Linked DNA regions of Cricetulus griseus. The protein of the gene in region 1 purifies or fractionates together with the protein of each later gene. This does not show direct contact. Links are inferred from orthologs where the notes say so. Each region holds a gene or a part of one and is shown in the gene's direction. Other genes may lie near its edges. The genes, in order: Rictor and Prr5l.

Region 1 (8,950 bases):
ATGAGCTCTGTTACTGTTTTTGACTGATTGATTCACTCTCGTGTAGCCCTGGTGGCCTTGAACTCACAGAGATTTATCTGCCTCTTTTTCCTGAGTCCTGGGATTAAGGATGTGAGCCACCACTGCCCAGCTTCTATGTCTGTCCAGTGTGGGTGGCTTTGCATTCTGATCCTTCAAACAAGTTTTATTAAAGCATAAACAGTATATCACCACAAATGACAAGTCTAGAATGTGAACTCATAGTACCTGTGCTCTATGTGGCTTCTAAATAAGCTGTATGTAAAGTCACTCTTGGAATTCTATATGCAGAAATGACGAAAGCAAACCTTTGGTGGACTTGTGCCAAAGTATGAGGAAATGTTTTAGAAGGATAATATATTGTTATTTACATGATACTTCTTTTTTTCTTCAGAATGTTATCACAGAACTCTGTCATAATGTTCGCACTCCAGACTTGGATAAATGGGAAGAAATTAAAAAGCTGAAAGCTGCTCTTTGGGCCTTGGTTTGTAATAAACATTTCTGATCTTTGCAGTGATTATGGGTTCTGTTTTTTAGGCTCCTCCCACTAATATTAAATAAACTAAAATTACTTTACCTTGAACATGTTCTTAGATTAATATTTAAAGACCAGATTGTTCCTACCAATTTAAAGGTTTTTCTTATGCTGAAGAAATAGATGATTAAGCAATTAGTGTTTTTGCCTCTGTTCTCCTAAGACAAACAGTATGTTTGCTTACTCCTAGCACACCTCATTTAAGATTTTGTTTTTACCTTGCATAGACTTTTCTCTCTTTTATAGTTGGCTTTAAATGTCTTTCTTGGTGGCTTTTAAAGTTTCTTCAAAATATTAGTCATAAATATTTGATATTATTTCTTTTAGGGAAATATTGGCTCATCGAATTGGGGGCTTAATTTGCTACAGGAAGAAAATGTGATTCCAGATATACTAAAACTTGCGAAACAGTGTGAGGTTCTTTCCATCAGAGGGTATGTTACGTACCTAAGTCTTTCTAGTGAATATATTCTTATTCACAAATAGATGTAAGACAAAGTATTTCAAGATTCATATTGTCAATTTAAATATACTTTGCTAGGATCCTGCTGTACTGCCTTTATTTTGTTTTAATTATTTTTATTAGGGAGACTTACATGGTTTTCATTCATTCCCCCACTAGATTTAATGTGCTGTTTTCCACAATCAAACAATTTTTAAATGTCTTCTTAAGGAAAATGTAGATATCCATGTAGCCTACTATTTTATGGTTATTTAAAAATCTCACCTTGGAATTATAAACTTTTTACTATGTTTTTTTTTTCCCTCTACCCCTATAGGACCTGTGTATATGTTCTTGGGCTCATAGCTAAAACCAAGCAAGGCTGTGATATTCTAAAATGTCACAGCTGGGATTCTGTGAGGCACAATCGCAAGCATCTGTGGCCAGTGGTTCCAGATGATGTGGAACAGCTCTGCAATGAGCTTTCTTCTGTACCCAGCACCCTCAGTTTGAACTCCGAGTCGACCAGCTCTAGACATAACAGTGAAAGTGAGTCTGCACCATCAAGTGAGTATTGTGATGGATTCACATGAATTAATCTGTTGGTGATTTTACTTGTGAGTTCAAAGCTTAAATGTATTGTTACATTCTAAGTTCACATTTCTCTTTTCTGCTTAGTTTGTAGACTATTAGGAGATAGTCTTGTGTGACCTGGAACTTGCTAAATAGACAAGGATGATTTTCTTCCTGCTTCTGTCTAATGAGTGCTGGGAGTACAGGCATGTAGCCACACTCAGGTAGAAGTGTACTTTTTCAAAGAGAATGGCTTGATGATGATATCCTATTAAAGGCTGCTGTGCTTTTTAAATAGCTTGTGGGAATTATGTGCTCAGAGATGATAATAAGTCATGCACCAGAGACACTACTTCTCTTTGTTCTCAGACCAAACAAACCTAGCCAGAATTTGCCTCATGTACTCAATACTTTCCTTCTTTTTCTTAAGTATACGTAAATGAAGTAGAATGCATGAGCTAAGAGAGTCATATCTTCATTAGATATTACATGGTGTGGGAACCACAAGGGTAGCTCAGTAGTAGAGCGCTTTTCTGTTTTAGGTGAATCTCTGGTTTTATGCCCCAGAACTGGAGGAGAAAAGGAAATTGGTGGAAGTGTTAAAAGATAGGATGTCAGAAATAAACGATGTATGAAACGGATGTTTCAAGAGTTGAGTGCTATGGGTTGCACAGAATTTAAGGAATGCTTCTTAGATTTAAGATGATGATAAATACAGGCCAGGCATAGTGGCGCACATCTTTAATCCCAGCACTTGGTGGGCAGAGGCAGGTGGATCCCCATGAGTTCTATGCCAGTGTGGTCTACAGAGTAAGGACAGCCAGGGCTGTTATACAGAGAAAACCTGTCTCAAGAAATGCAAAGGAAGGAAAAAACACAAAAAGAAAAGGTGATAACAAACTAGGCCTCGTTGCCCATGACTTTCATTCTAGCTCTTCAGGAGGCTCATGCATTAGACTCTTGAGGCCTGTCTAGTCTGAAGGATAAGGCCAAGGCTAAGTGTTTTCACCAGTACCCATGAGGAAAGGAAGGAATGGAGAGGGGTTGGGTCTGCAAGTATATCTTTATAATCCTAGTATGTAAGCCTAAGGCAAGAAGACTGTTGAAAGTTTAAGACTAGTCAGGGATACATTCTGAACTTGACGTCAGCTTGGGCAGCAGTGTAAAATCATTTCTCAAAAAATAAAGATAATCTAACATATATTGGACCATATTTCACCAAGTCCATGATGCCTTGAATTATAAGAAGTACTAATATTTATATTCCACCACAAAAAGAGGAAAAAAATCTTGTCCCTTACACCACTTCATACTCTTTATTACATGGTAAAACTTGGTTTTTGAGAGATTGCACATGAAGATATATCTTAGCGTTCACAGACATAGAAAGCTAGTGTAATATGCAAGTTCATTTAGGGTTTTACTTTTGCCTTTTTTGAAAATATATTTAAAGTTCTTAATAATTACTCAGTAGAACAGTTACAAATTGAATAAATCTTATTGGTACCGTTAGACACCTGGGATAACTGAGGTATTACAGTTAGACACTAAGTTTGGTGAGTGCACATGGACAGTAAACATAATTGGTTTAAATATGAAGCTTATATGTATGTCTTTGTTAACCATTAGTATGGTTATCCTTCCATTTCTGTATGAGATCCCATACTTCCACCTCTGTATCCAAATCCGCTGATACTTAAATCCTTTGACTTATATACAAATCTCCGAAATAATTTGTATCTTTGGATCATTTAATACCTAATCTAGACACTCAATAGTGAATTTTATTCTTAAAGGATAATAGCAAGAAAAATATATGTACTTATTTAATTTAAGCACCTTTCTGTGAGTATTTTTGGTCTCTGGTTAGTTGAACTCATACGTACACAATTCATTGACTTGGAAGGCTGCAGTGTATTTAAAGTTTAGGAATCTGTTTCTAAGAAGAATGTGTCCTGCCACTGTGATGGGAAGAAGAAACCATGCCATTCTGAACTCACAGAATGAGCATGCTCAAGGGATGGATGTCTCCTGCTTTCTCTTTAATTTTAGCCAGAATATTTGGGAAAAAAAAAACTTTAATATATGCTGTACTAGGATAAGTCTGTAGTTATTCTTTAGAAATGACAGATACTCACATGACAACAATCTTGTATTTTATTCATATTCTAACTCTGATCTTTAGGGGACATTTTTATTTCTTAATGTTCCCCCCAGATGATTTGCTTAAAAGGTGGGATAGCGCTGAGCATTGTGATGAACTCTTCATAGTTGCATGCTTTGACAGCTAGCTCTCCATTTACAGGCATGTTCATACTGGAGGATGACCGGTTCGGCAGCAGCTCCACCAGTACATTTTTCCTTGACATCAATGAAGATGCAGAGCCAGCATTTTATGACCGACCTGGACCCATAAAGGATAAAAATTCATTTCCTTTTTTTGCCTCTAGCAAACTTGTAAAGAATCGTATCTTAAATTCACTTACTTTGCCTAATAAAAAACACCGCAGTAGCAGTGATCCAAAAGGAGGAAAACTGTCATCTGAAAATAAGACAAGCAACCGGCGAATCAGAACACTTACAGAGCCCAGTGTTGACTTTAATCACAGTGACGACTTTACACCCATCTCCACAGCACAGAAAACATTGCAGCTTGAAACTTCTTTTGTTGGGAATAAGCACCTTGAAGACACTGGCAGCACTCCAAGTATTGGAGAGAATGACTTGAAATTCCCCAAGAGTTTTGGTGCAGAGAATCACAGAGAAAACACAAGCCGGGAGAGGTTGGTTGTAGAAACCTCAACAAGCTCACATATGAAGATCCGCAGCCAAAGCTTTAACACAGACACTACAACAAGTGGCATAAGTTCAATGAGCTCAAGTCCCTCTCGAGAGACAGTTGGTGTAGACCCTACAACTATGGACACAGATTGTGGAAGTATGAGTACTGTGGTAAGTACTAAAACTGTTAAGACAAGCCACTATTTGACACCACAGTCTAACCATCTGTCTCTCTCCAAATCGAACTCAGTGTCCCTGGTGCCACCAGGTTCTTCTCATACACTTCCTAGAAGAGCACAGTCCCTTAAAGCGCCCTCCATTGCAACAATAAAAAGTCTAGCAGATTGCAACTTTAGCTACACAAGTTCCAGAGATGCCTTTGGCTATGCTACATTGAAAAGATTACAGCAGCAAAGAATGCACCCATCCTTATCACACTCCGAAGCTTTGGCATCCCCAGCAAAAGACGTACTGTTTACTGATACCATCACCATGAAGGCCAACAGTTTTGAGTCAAGACTGACTCCAAGCAGGTGAGCAATACGTGCTTAGAAATAAGTGAAAGTGGTCGAATTTTAATAGATAGAAATGTAAGACATTAGTCAGCTTGAGCACCACAGAGGCCAAGTCTCAGAACTGATCCATTTACCACAGTAGGCTGTAAGCTCCTTGTTACCTGATATGATTTGAAATGGATTCTTGCAGCTGCGAGGGGGGAAAATAAACTCCATTAGGCCCTGAAAATAAACTTGTTTTGCAAGGTTACACAAGTCACAAGCTTTTTTTTATCTATTTCTCGCTTCTGCAAGGATCGATTTTAAAAAGAAGCATGTCGGGGGAATCAGGAGCTTAAGACCTACAATAACAAACAACCTTTTCAGGTAGGTCAATTTAAAGCTCCAAAAGTTGACCTCTTAATATTTTTTAAAATAACTGAAGATGTCAGTTAATTATTTTAATTTGTTTTAAGTACATGTCATTATTAAATAGAAACCTAATAAACACAAAATGAATTCCTGGCTCCTCAATATTAAGCAAAAGTTTCTATTTATATATTAAATATTCTATATTTAGATCAAGCTATTAATAGTATGAAGTTTAGGGTTTTTTTTAATGTTTTTGTTGTTAGACTTCTCATAGTTGAATTATATTCATTTAAATGATTTATATCCCTTTAAATAGATAACTAGGTGTCAAGTAGTTAGACCAGTATCTGGTAAAAAATAAACACTAGTTTGCAGGATATTCTCACTATCAATATAATAGTTATTTTTATTTATATCATCCATCAGTCTCTCACATCTGATTTTTAGTAGCATTTTTTTATAAAGAAGGTGCTGGTAACTGATAGTAAATTTCGTCCCCTCTTAAAAAATGGTACAGTAACGGTTGGTATAACTAGAAGTCACTATCTCTGGCATCTTCGTGAATCCATAATAGAACCACACGCCTCTCAGCAAGCCGTGGATAAAGAGCTCCAGCCAAGAAACCGAGCTTATGAGTTGTCTGGTGGAGACTAGGCTAAATGAGTGCTTGTAAACTCTTAAAATGTTACTTTCTAAGCAGAAACAAACTAACGTCTTGAAGGTTTTCTATAAAAACCCAATAAATAAAACGGTTTAAAATGGAGCTGCTGATGATTGAAATAGAATTGGAAAGTGAAATACCCTCATAATCCCTCTGACTCAAGTAGTCCTTAGAGAGTTTTATAGAATCAAAGAAACTAAACCATACCATTTGAAAAACATTGACTTCTTTCATACAATTCATAAATTTCAGATATGAATACTGTTGGAAATTAGGAATTGTTTTTGCTACTATAACCTTAGTAGCTACTATTTAAAGCACATTCCTTTTGTGTGTTTATGTGAAGTAATCCTTTGATTTCCATTTTACACTTTATAAGACTTGGTTTTCCAGTCAGTAATGTGAGACTTTGAATGGTGCTTCATATATTTGAGAAGGCATATACAGAGTGAACTGTGTCTATTGCATGAATAGTGATCTGTATGTCAGAAGTGTATCTGATAGAGATGTCCACATACCATGGTTAGGGAATCATTTGTGAAGAGTACCCTATAAAGAAAGACTAGAGTTCTGTGAGATAGCCCTTGTAATATTTACAAATGATACCCTTGTAATATTTACTATGGTATGTGTACCTTCTATGCTACACAAATCTTATGCGATAAAGCACTTTTCATAATAAATTACCTGGTGTTAATAGATATACCTTTAGCAGTATAGCAAGTCCAGCAACCTCTGCTGACTGCACAGGTAGTCTTTGAGCTGTACTTGTCTATAGGTTAGTTTCCTTTATTGCTTCTGCATGCTGATGTTGCTCTCCTTACCCACCTTCTCATCTTCACCTGGGAGAACATAGCAGTTGTTCTTTTGGTGACATTTAACACTACTGGCAACCTGTGTATTGGCCAATAGCAGCTAATGTTTAAGTGCTTATGTGTTCCCAGCAGACTTAAGATGGTACTGCTTCATGTTTGACCAGCTACTTTGATAGTGGTATAAGATTAGGGTTTTTTTTTTTTGTTAATATACTTAATAGTACAAATCAAGAAGCTAATTTAAGGTTTTTTTTTGTGATGTTATAGGTTTATGAAAGCTTTAAGTTACGCATCATTAGATAAAGAAGATTTATTAAGTCCTATTAATCAAAATACCCTGCAGCGATCCTCCTCAGTTAGGTCCATGGTATCCAGTGCTACATATGGAGGTTCTGATGACTACATTGGACTTGCCCTTCCAGTGGACATCAATGATATATTCCAGGTAACATTCAGAGTACTACTGTTTTCCTACGAGCTGGCTTCCTGCTGGTTTTGTTTTGCTTTTTATTGTTCTGTAACTGCTTATTAGAACTTTAGTTTATAGTGGATACATTTACTATGGGAAAGAAAGATAAAGGTTTTTAAGAATCCCACGTTCTTTACGCTTACTCGTGTCTTGTGAGTAAGAATCTTGTTTAGTCTCCAGTCTCTGAAATGCTAACCTTGTCTGACTGTAATAAATTAGCATCTTGTTTGATTTATGTGTAGTCTATAGAAGTTTAGTAAATTCCTAACAGTCTTTTAGATTCATGTAACTTACTAATTTTTAGTCATTGATCCCTTTTTACACTCAGAACGGCCATGCTCCAGTAAGATAATACACAATTTCTAGTGGGTAGCCTTGAACTCACAGAGATTCATCTGCCTCTGTCTCCTGAATCCTGAGATTAAAGGTATGTGCCACCACTGCCTGGCCTCTAGCTGTGGCTGGCTAGCTTTACACTTTGGTTTTTAGGCAAGCTTTATTAGATCATAAACACAGTATCACCACAATAGGAGTGCTCATTGAATTTATAGCTCAGCTGGCAGCCAGCAAGCCCCAGCAGTCATTCTTTTTCCACCCTTCACAGCTTAGTTTCTCAAGCACATGGCCACACCCAGCATGTTCTGTCGATGAAGGACATTGAAACTTCTCATGCTTTTACAGCAAGCACTCTTCACCCACTGAACCATCCCTAGGGCCTAGATATTTTATATAAACACTTAACTATTTGAATACCCATTTAATTCATCAAGAGCATGATGGTTCAGAGACAGTTATTTGATTATGTTTTGGTAAACTTTAGTAAATTTTGCCTTATAGATTTATGCTACAATAATTCTATTTGTTGCATTTCCCTGAATTCCCTTCATGTTCCTAAGATGAATTTCTTTGTATGGTGAAGCTGACCATGCTCTGTATGCATTTTAGATAAAGGATATTCCTTATTTTCAATCAAAGCACGTGCCTCCACCAGATGACCGAGGTGCAAGAATGTTTTCCCACGATTCAGGAGGTAATGTGTTCTCTTGGTTCTCATGCGACTCCTTACCTTGAAAATGAATTTCTCTTTTTAGTGAGGTGACAACAAAAATTAGGCTTACTAAACTTTGGGGTTAAAGTAAAACTAAACCAAAATAACTCAGTCAACTAAAAATTAAAACACAGTTGTTTTTCTAGTGAGAATCCCCAATCTCTCAAGTTGATAAAACCCAGAATAGTTCTTTCTTAAAGTGCAAGAGGAATGTTAAAACTAGTTTCATGGGTCAGAGGCATATTTTTTTTTTTTTTTTTGCAATGAAGGAAATGGGGATTTGCTTATTTTTTACACATGTTATTCTGTGCTATGAACTGCTACGTTTTAGTGAATGTGTGCATGTGAACCATTTTAATAGTTTTATAATCTTGTTTCAACATATACCTCTCAGAAGTACTGATTTTGTTTAGGCAGTTATCAGAGTTAATTGAAATGATACGTTCATATAACCTGTTTTTTGTCAGTATTTAGAAAAATCCTTATTGAAATAATAAAGGTAGATGTGCTATCTGTTTTTATGGTTACAATTTAAAACAAATTATCTTTCTTAATTAAAATTAAATGTTGGGACATAAAGAGTTCTAAGTTTTCATCTGAAGAAAGTGTTATTTTAAGACATCATGAAAAAGATGCCAATGGTGTCTTTATTGGATTATATTTTTATTTACTTAAACATACAGGTCTTCCATCTGGAACTGGAGGTCTTGTAAAAAACTCTTTTCACTTGCTACGGCAG
Region 2 (8,950 bases), on another chromosome or scaffold:
TTGCCACACAAGATAAAGACTTGAGTTTGCGCCCCAGAAGTCATGTAGAAAAGCCAGGTGTGCTGGTGTGTGCTTGTAATTCCTGTGTTGGGAAGGCAGATCCCTGGGGCTCACTGGCCAACCAGTCTAGCTGAATGAACCAAGTCTAGGCCAGTGAAAGACTGTCTCTTTGAATGAAAAGGAAGATGGTGTGTAAGCTGCTAAGAGAGAAAAGCCATCAGCAGCTATGAAGTCTGTGAGCCACAATAATGACTCGTGGCAGGGTAGGCCCAAGAGTTATCGAACCCATGGCATGAATGTTGTGGGAATAACAAACTACTTTCTGATTGTATTTAAGGTGTAATCCACAGTATCAAACATACGCCTACTACTATAAATCTGGCCCCAAATCCAAGGCTGGGGAACTGTTGGGCTCCAAGTGTAAAACTACCTGTTTTTCCTGAACCGACGTAATATCCAGCTGCCTTCTAGACACATATCTTTAGCCATAGATTAGTGAACCTCAGTTCTCATCATAGAAGCATTTTGTGCAGTAGATAGTGTTAATACAGGGACCCACAATTGATCAACGTGTAGAGAATAGTTGTCTGTGGGGTGATCATCCACAAATGGGAACCTGTATCACATCCTGTCTCCATAAGGCTCAGGGACAATTGCTAAAGAGGAGAGTGGGAAGAGTGCAAGAGACAGAAAATTGAAGACTAAAGTGAAACAGTATTTCTTAGACATGATAGGACCCCTGCACTCATGAACTCATAGCAGCTGTGGCTGCCTGCACAAGGTCAAACCAGTCAGCATGCTAGCATGGAGCGGGGTCTGGGGGCGGGGGGGGAGCATAGGCACCATCCCCAGCTGACGAGCTTTTGGAAGCTTCTTGGGGAAGGAGAGTCAATTTCATTTTAAAATCAAGGTGGACGGTTCCTGAGGAGGAGTGACACCTGATGGTGACTTCAAGCCTCCATAGGCGATACTCTTAACAGGTGTTCACACACGGACATGTAGGCACAGACACAAAGTTAAGTAAATTCAAAACTCTTCGGTTGCACAGGCCACATATTAAGTGTTTAGTGGCTCTATATGGCCATGGGTGACATCATGGATAGCATCAGTTTGTATACTGTCAGCTTTCAGGTAGCCTTTCACTTCTTGTTTGCAGACAGCACGAATGTTTACTGTCTTTTTTATATAGGAGCAAATATGCCATTGCCCAGAAAGTGGGAGCATGGCTTTCTGAGGCAGTGTTGTATATTACTCAAGCTGCTGGCAGCTCTCTGTCATGATTGAAATGTGTGCACAGTTTCCAAGTGTGAATCAGAATGAGAACATTTTGAAATATTTAAGAAAAAAAGACAAAACCAATCACCTGGGCTGGTACATTATGGGGCCAGGCTTAAATATAGAACCTTCTTGACCAGCTCTGGGTTACTTACAGCCCTCCAGTCCTGGCTGGGTGAGTCACTCTGCCTCCCTTTCTTCATTAAGGGTAGAATCCCTGCTCTGCCTGCTTCGTGTGGTTGGGTGACAATATTTGTATGTGTGTTTGTTTTCTTGTTTATAGAAAAGAGTCTCTGGTCACCCAGGCTGCCACTGAACTCCCTATGCACTTCTGACCTCCTGTCTCCATCTCTGCAGTGCTTAGATTACAGACATGTACCATCACACAGGTTGATACAGTGCTAGTTCATGCAACATGGGCACTCCTCTGACAGACCTGCATCCCCAGCCTGGGGTTGGGTGAGATTTAGAAGCAGGGGATGTATGAGTTAGGGCAGTGAAGCCTCAGTACCTAAAGCTGTGTGTGAGTCACCAAAGGCCGAAGAAACAAGAGTCAATTTCTGTGACAGTGTCAGGGTCCTGGCTGGAGGCAATGTTTCAGATTCTGGGGAAGCTGTTTTCCCACTGCTGTGGGGGCTGGGCAATCTTGACACAATACCAAACAATGTTCTTTTATTGATTTGGTCAGTCCTGTGTCACACTTGCCACTGGCCAGGCACTGTTGAAGGCAAATGCTTCACAAATGCTTCCAGTACCCCAAGGATTCACTGTTGGTGTACCCCTTTCCCAGGGAGAAAAATCAAGCTTCAAAGGTCAAGTACCTTGTCCAAGGTCACACAGTGGGTGATGGTGACTGTCTCTCTGACTGGCACAGCCTGCATTTCCTTGTGGTGTCCTTTCTCTTCCTTTGTTCCTTCTGTCCCGATCCTGTGTGGCCGTGGAGTTGATTTTGGTAGATCTCTTCTCTCAGAGGTTGAGATTTAGGTTTTGATATGAAGGCGGGTGATTGCCATTTCAAACTCAGTAGCTTTGATTCTGGGATCCTGTCTCAGTTTAGTAGTGTGGAAGGTGGAGATGGGCTGGAAAGGCGGGCCAACCTTGACACGTCAGTGACTTGCCTCTAGCTAGCTGTATGCCCTCAGGTTGGTTACTTCTCTAACTTCAGATGGCATTTTGTGAGGGCTGAATAAGTCACCTTAGTGACAGGGCCCAGTATCCTATCAGAGAGCTTGTCCATGCTTCATTCATTTTTAACTCTACCTTTGTCTTGAGCAGTGAGTGAGCTAAGGCTTATGGGTTCAGAGTGACCCAATCTCCTGTCTGCCTTCAAGGTCTTCCTACAGTGGCCTCCTGAAGCTGCAGAACTCAGGCCTAGAATTGGGGAATGGAAGTTGTAAGCTGTGTTGGCTTAGTCCTGTGTTGGAGATTTTAGATAAATATGTTTGCTCATTTGCTCTACATTTGTTGGTTCTAAATGACTGCACTCCTAGGACCTGTCTGTCTTGTCACTTCTGACTTGTCATATGTGGGTCAGGACAAGTCAGTGTTTGACGGGCCAGGGCCTTAGCAGGTGTATACAGGGTGTGCCAACCTTACTTCAGGCCCATGTCAACACGTCCTATAGCTTACTCCCTCGGTCTCCATGTGGCTGCTGGGCTCTGTGACAAGCAGGGTTGGTGTGGACCACATACTTCCTTCATCTTTTCAGCATTTGAAGAAGACAAAGTTTGGGGGGCTGTAAACAAATCAGAGGGAACTCCTTGCTGTGTGTGTCCTTGACTTGGGGTGTGGGGACTATGGTCATTGATAATCCTTTGGGCTGAAAGTTACCCTTATTTATAATGGGGCAGGCCATGCTGCTGGAGCTGTGCCATGGCCAAGACTGCCTTGGGTGCTGTGCAGGGTGCTCAGATAGCTTGGAATGAGATCCGGGTGCTGTAGCTGAGACATGAGAGGGAGGAGCCACCTTAGATACTCTGGAATCTCAGCTCCCAGGAGAAGTGGCATGTGTGCAACCCATGACAACGTGTCCTGTGCAGTCTTCTGCTTCCTCAAGCTAGTGCCCCAGAGTGGGCAGCAGCTTCATTGTCTTTGGTTTGAGACCCTTACACAGTGAGTTAATATCCGGGAATCCCAGTGAGTTGCATTTCACAAGCCTCCCAAAGCAGGGCCCAGGGAGGCATCTTGTCTAAGTAAAAGGACCTTTGCTGCCAAGTAAAAACTCCAGCCAGCCAGTATTATTATTCTTAGGGTTCCATGGTTTTATTTCCCCTTCCTCTCATCACTGGTGTGCATAGTTCCTTCCAGATTTTGGGGTAATTGGGAACCTGTTGAAACCCTCTCAGGAACATAACAGGCTTCTGCAACAGTTATTGGTCAACTTTGATAACTGTTGACTTTCTCAGTGTGCAGGGTTTCCAGGCAAAGACTGTTTAAGAACATGGCCCACACAATTCCTACCCTTAAGGAGAGCAGTTACAGAGCTACAAAGGGGGACTAGCCATCCTTCTTGTGGCCCTTGGACTCTTGAATTCGGTGTCAGTAGGCCCATTGCCTACACAAAGCCATCAGCACCTCCATGCCTTCCTGAAGAGTTGCATTGTCATGGTGCTGGTTGTGTTGTCCCTCCCTGTCCGCCAATGCTGCAGCCAAGGCTGTGGGACTTCCCTTGCCAACCTGCAGGCTAACTCTTGTGCACTCATGGATGGAATCTTACTTTTCTTTCTTAGTTAGTATCTGGGACTTATCTGAGTTAACTTGACCAGAAGTAACAGTTAAAAACAAACAAACAAAAACAAAGGCACTCCCTAAGTGAAATCTACTCAACTGTTTAAGAGAAAGTGCCTTTGGCTGTTTACAGCAATATTCCAGTCTGCTCTAGTGGCTGCAATAATGGGTCCAAAAGAGAAGAGCATGGAGGGAACTAGCTAGCCCTGAGGCTAGTTCCTGAGGCTAGAATGGGTGCTCTACCATTCTGTTGGGCATGTCAGCTGATCTCATTTTATCCCTCCCAGTCCTGTGAGGTTGGTCCTTTAGCACCTGAGAACACTGCGCTCACAGTGTTTGAAGTGGTACAACTTGGGACCTGTGTTAGTTCATGAACCCCAGAATGAAAGCTCATTGAAAAGCCATTGGTTCCCACCAGAGCTACAAATCGTCTTGTGTTTTGCTACAAGGAACTGAACATTGACCCCAAAGAGCTTAAGGCATGCACACATGCTAAGCAAGTGTTCTACGTCTGAGTTACATTCCCAGCACTCTTTACTTAAGACAAATGTTTATTTTCTCTCTCTCTCTCTCTCTCTCTCTCTCTCTCTCTCTCTCTCTCTCTCTCTCTCTCTCTCTCTCGTGTGTGTGTGTGTGTGTGTGTGTGTGTGTGTGTGTGTGTGTGTGTGTGTGTGTGTAGCATACTTGGTGGAAGTCCAAGGACAATTTGTGGAAGTTGGCTCTCCTTTTATCATGTGGGTCTTAGGGATTGAATTCCAGGTTGTCATACTTGGTGGCAGATACCTTTACCTGCTGATCCATCTTGCTGACACTTTTTATAATTTTTTACTTTTTATTTTGAGGTGGGGGTCTAATTAAATTATTCAGGTTGACCTTAACAAACTCTGTAGCCCAGGAATGCTTTTGATTTCAGATTCTTTTGCTTTAGCCTTCTGAGTTGCTGAAATTACAAGTCTGCACACTAGCCCTGCTCAGGAACAAGATTATAAGACTCAACCTGACTGAATTAGTTGGATCTAGAAATGCACAAAGCCCAAGGAAGATCATCTGGTAAAGGAGAACAAGAATTGGCTTAAAAGCCTGGAAAGAGACCTGGGGTGGGAGAGATGGGACAGTCCCACGGCTGTCATTTTATCATTGCCCAGTACCTCAGTGACTGGAGCTTATAGGCTCAATATGTATTTATTGAATGAACAGGCATAGGAATTGTTAGTCATCTTTACCATAGAGTGGGAATCTCTGGAAGGCAGGGCCTGGGCCTTGGCGATTTGGGGTGCTTGACATGTTACAATGGCTGTTATACAACAAACAGTAAATATATCCTGATGGACTGCATAACACATGGCAGGTAGGAAAGGGAGGGCAAGATGTGCCTGAGTGAAGAAACAGTCACGACTTGAGAAATACTGAACAACACGTAGTGACTGATGGAACAGGGGGTGGAAGGAAAAGGAGCTTTTACATTTCACTTAAGGCATTCACAAAGGCTATTCTTCTGTTACGGTTTAGTGTGTATCTCAGTCATAGCATGCTGGCCCATGTTCTAAGTCCTGGGTCCATGCCTAATACACACACACACACACACACACACACACACACACACACACACACACACGAGACAGGAGAGCTTCGGTGGCAATAGAGGCTCTTGCAGTGTCATTGATTTTAGGATCATTTAGCTAGAGAGTCTAGCCAACATCCTTTCGTTACATGTTTTCAGTAGAGGCTGCCTGTCATTTCAGGTGTTGGCTCAGAGGGGGCTTTTAAGAGAACCCAGAAGCAGCGTTGGGAGAAGCCTTTTCTGTGAGTAGCCAGAGACGTCTGGTCCTGAAGACACAGCTCAATCCTCACCTGGACTTATGACCCGAGGCCTTGCTCCCCTCCTGCCCATTGAGTTCCACAAGATGGGCTCCTTCCGCCGTCCTAGACCACGATTTATGAGCTCCCCTGTGCTCAGCGAGCTGCCCCGCTTCCAGGCTGCACGGCAGGCTCTGCAGCTGAGTTCCAACTCTGCCTGGAACAGGTAAGGGCCTGAGGGTCCAGCACCATCAGGGAGGGCTTTGGGGTAATCTGGGGGTGAGCCGAACATCTGCTGCCTCAGAGAGCATTACTCATGAAGTCTGATCATGGTGCAGATGATAAATGGGGCAAGTTCCCCTGTTTTCATAGAGAAGGTAGCTCACTGGGAGTTCTAGCCTATCAGGGTGCATTTTGCCAGCCTGGGATCATTGACTTAGAATTTATAGTTCCAGTTTATGCCGCTTAACACCCTACACTGGGTGAGTATCTAAGGGTGGGGTCTTTCAGATGACCTTATATCACCTGTTTCCCCTTTAGGAAGCTTAGGTGTGTTTCTGTGCAAAGCTCAATGAATGGTGTACGTCACATTCTCTTTCTCCTCATCCACTGGTGCTTGGGAGAGGAGATGTAGCTTTGGGAGGTGTCCAGCAGAGCTTGTGGACCATGCCCGGAGCAGATCAGCCCATCAGTACTGCCTTGGAAGTCTGTGGGCCAAAGGTTTCCAAAGCTGTGTTGGCCTCTGGATAAATGAGTATTACTGAATTCTCTGTGCTTTTTCAGTGACAGGCCATCAGGCACACTCAGCTGATGCAGTTCAGCAGGGCTGCCTGGAATGTTCTGGCATTCTGAGGATCACTGTCCTTTGTAAAATTCCTCAGCACAGACAAGATTATAATCAGCTCTTCTGCTGCTGCTGCTGTGGTCCTTTAAGAGCCCAATTTTATGACAGTATACTTCCCTCCCTGGGGTGAAACAAAGGGACAAGGAAAGCCCATGGAAAATTCTATCTTAAAGGCGATAGTTTCAGTCTCTGTCTGAGAAGATGGTGACTTCCCAGTAGTAAGCAGTCAGGGTCAACTCCTGCTGGCAATGAATGCTATCTGGATGCTTGCAGGGCCACAGTGCTGGCAGTTCTCAGAGAGCTGATCTATTGCCTACCTCCATGTGAGCAAGGGGAAGAAGCCCCTGTGACCTGCAAGTGTCCTGGAACTCCCTTTGGATCCTTTGCCCCAGTCTTCTCAGTACTTCTGGGACAGAAGAAGTGGCTGCGAGTATCCCTTAGGGCTTCCCAGCTCTTCCATGACCTCCCCTGGGAGCAGTTTGAAAAAAATGGCCCCTGGAGGCAGATCACCTAACTGGCATGTGTTTCTTTCTCTTTGCAGTGTGCAGACAGCTGTGATCAACGTTTTCAAAGGGGGTGGCTTGCAGAGCAATGAGCTATATGCACTGAACGAGAACATCAGGTACTTACTTGGCTGGCCAAAACCAGTGCTGGTATTTCATTGGGAGGCTTCAGGTCCTCCCCACCTCCCACCCCTACCACCTTGCTTTGTACTTGCTGCTAAATTGTTGTTGTGTGTGTCGTATTGAGACCTTTACCATCTAGACTTCTCATTCTGATATGATGCCTATGCTCATGTGTATTATGCACTTTGTGCTGGGGGTGCAGGTTGATAGATGGTGCTAATTCTGTAAACTGTATTAGGCAATACAGAATTCTGAACACTGTATTAGGCAATATGACTAAGTGTTTGGAGCCAGATTATTTGAGAGTTGTATTTGTTAATAAAGACTTAGTAATAAATATGTACTGCCTTGATGGCCAGGTGCTGGAGCAGACATATGTGGTCCTGCTGTCCTGTTTTTTTTTTTTTTTTTTTTTTTTTTTGGTAGCCTACACTGGCCTTGAACCAACTATATAACTGAGCATGGCCTTGAACTCCTGATCCTTCTGTCTCCACCTCCTGGAGTTCTGGGATAAAAGTATGTACTACCATCTGTGGTTTCTAAGATGCTGGGGAGGGAGCCCAGGGCCTCTTGTGTAGCAGGTAAGCATTCTGTCAACTGAGCCACATCCCAACCTCACTGCCCTGGAGTGGACAGTCAGATGGGAAGATGATTATTAGTCAACCAGTCATGAGCTGTGTGATGACCGAGCTGATATGATGAAAGCATGGTAATATGACTTGGTTTTGCCAAGAGTCCAGGGACAATGGAGGTGATGCTTATGCCACGATCAGAGATTCATTAGGGGAGGAGGGTTCCAGTGGGTAGAATCAGCAGGAGCACAGGTCTCTGTGCTTGCAGTGAAAGGAAGCCTAAGTACACAGGGTGCTGGTGGTGGGATGGTGGCATAGTTGGGCTTGCGTCTTGGTGAAATGAGAGAGGAAACAGGGCTCAGAGCCCCAGGCTCAGCTAAGGCCAGGGAGTTGAATTAGCTAGCTAGCCTTTTAATTCCTCTCTGGGTACCTAAAGGGAGAACATCTAGGCTAAAGACCCAGCCCTGCAGTGGCCCAACAACAAACAAACAAGGCCATTGTTCAAGCCTTGTTTACATTGAATCAAGGTCAGCTGGGTGTTTAAGAGCTCTGTTTTCATTCAAGCCTTTACAGCACATAAGCGAGTGGTTGTGTTACATTTCTACCTCCTATGTACTTGAATTTCTTGTCACAATTACATAAATGTGGAAAGAGACAAAAGAGACCATCTAGCCCAAGGCCTCATTTTACAGGGAAGAAAGTGAGGTCCCAAGAAGGTATGGTGTCAGGGGCAAAGCTGGGTCACCAGCCTCAGACTTGCAAGAAAGAGCCCAGCTTACTCCAAGCCCCGAGTTCCTGCCCCTCCCCACAGGTTCTTTAGTCTCCAGTGGCAATATAAATAAATAATCCAGTGGCGCAGGAATGTGCTAATTGTTTCTCAAGTCAGGACACAGATCCTGACATTGTACTTCAAAGATCTTTGTGGGCAGCTAGGAAGGTGGGAGCTAACCCTGATGTCACCTGCCCCACAGCCCAGAGAAGCAAGCAAGGTGCCAAGGGGCCCTCTGAATGGGGAGACCGGCTGGGAAGCATGCAGAGATGTTCCCAGAAAACCTGAAATTAAAATTTCTTTCTTTATGTAAAAAAATTTTTTTTTCTCATATGAGTGC

What was found.
Region 2: the proteins of Rictor (region 1) and Prr5l purify together in Homo sapiens (affinity purification with western blotting; 3 studies listed by BioGRID and IntAct, with this or other methods). This does not show direct contact. The link is inferred for Cricetulus griseus from reciprocal best matches to the Homo sapiens genes RICTOR and PRR5L.

What each region holds. Positions count from the first base shown.
Region 1 is NC_048595.1:340,513,193-340,522,142, forward strand, and holds part of Rictor (rapamycin-insensitive companion of mTOR), read left to right. Parts: intron 1-412; coding exon 413-505; intron 506-883; coding exon 884-990; intron 991-1,335; coding exon 1,336-1,565; intron 1,566-3,876; coding exon 3,877-4,885; intron 4,886-5,161; coding exon 5,162-5,233; intron 5,234-6,961; coding exon 6,962-7,139; intron 7,140-8,108; coding exon 8,109-8,193; intron 8,194-8,894; coding exon 8,895-8,950. UniProt on the Homo sapiens protein: Component of the mechanistic target of rapamycin complex 2 (mTORC2), which transduces signals from growth factors to pathways involved in proliferation, cytoskeletal organization, lipogenesis and anabolic output.
Region 2 is NC_048599.1:75,854,760-75,863,709, forward strand, and holds part of Prr5l (proline-rich protein 5-like), read left to right. Parts: intron 1-5,744; 5' UTR 5,745-5,861; coding exon 5,862-6,025; intron 6,026-7,184; coding exon 7,185-7,265; intron 7,266-8,950. UniProt on the Homo sapiens protein: Associates with the mTORC2 complex that regulates cellular processes including survival and organization of the cytoskeleton.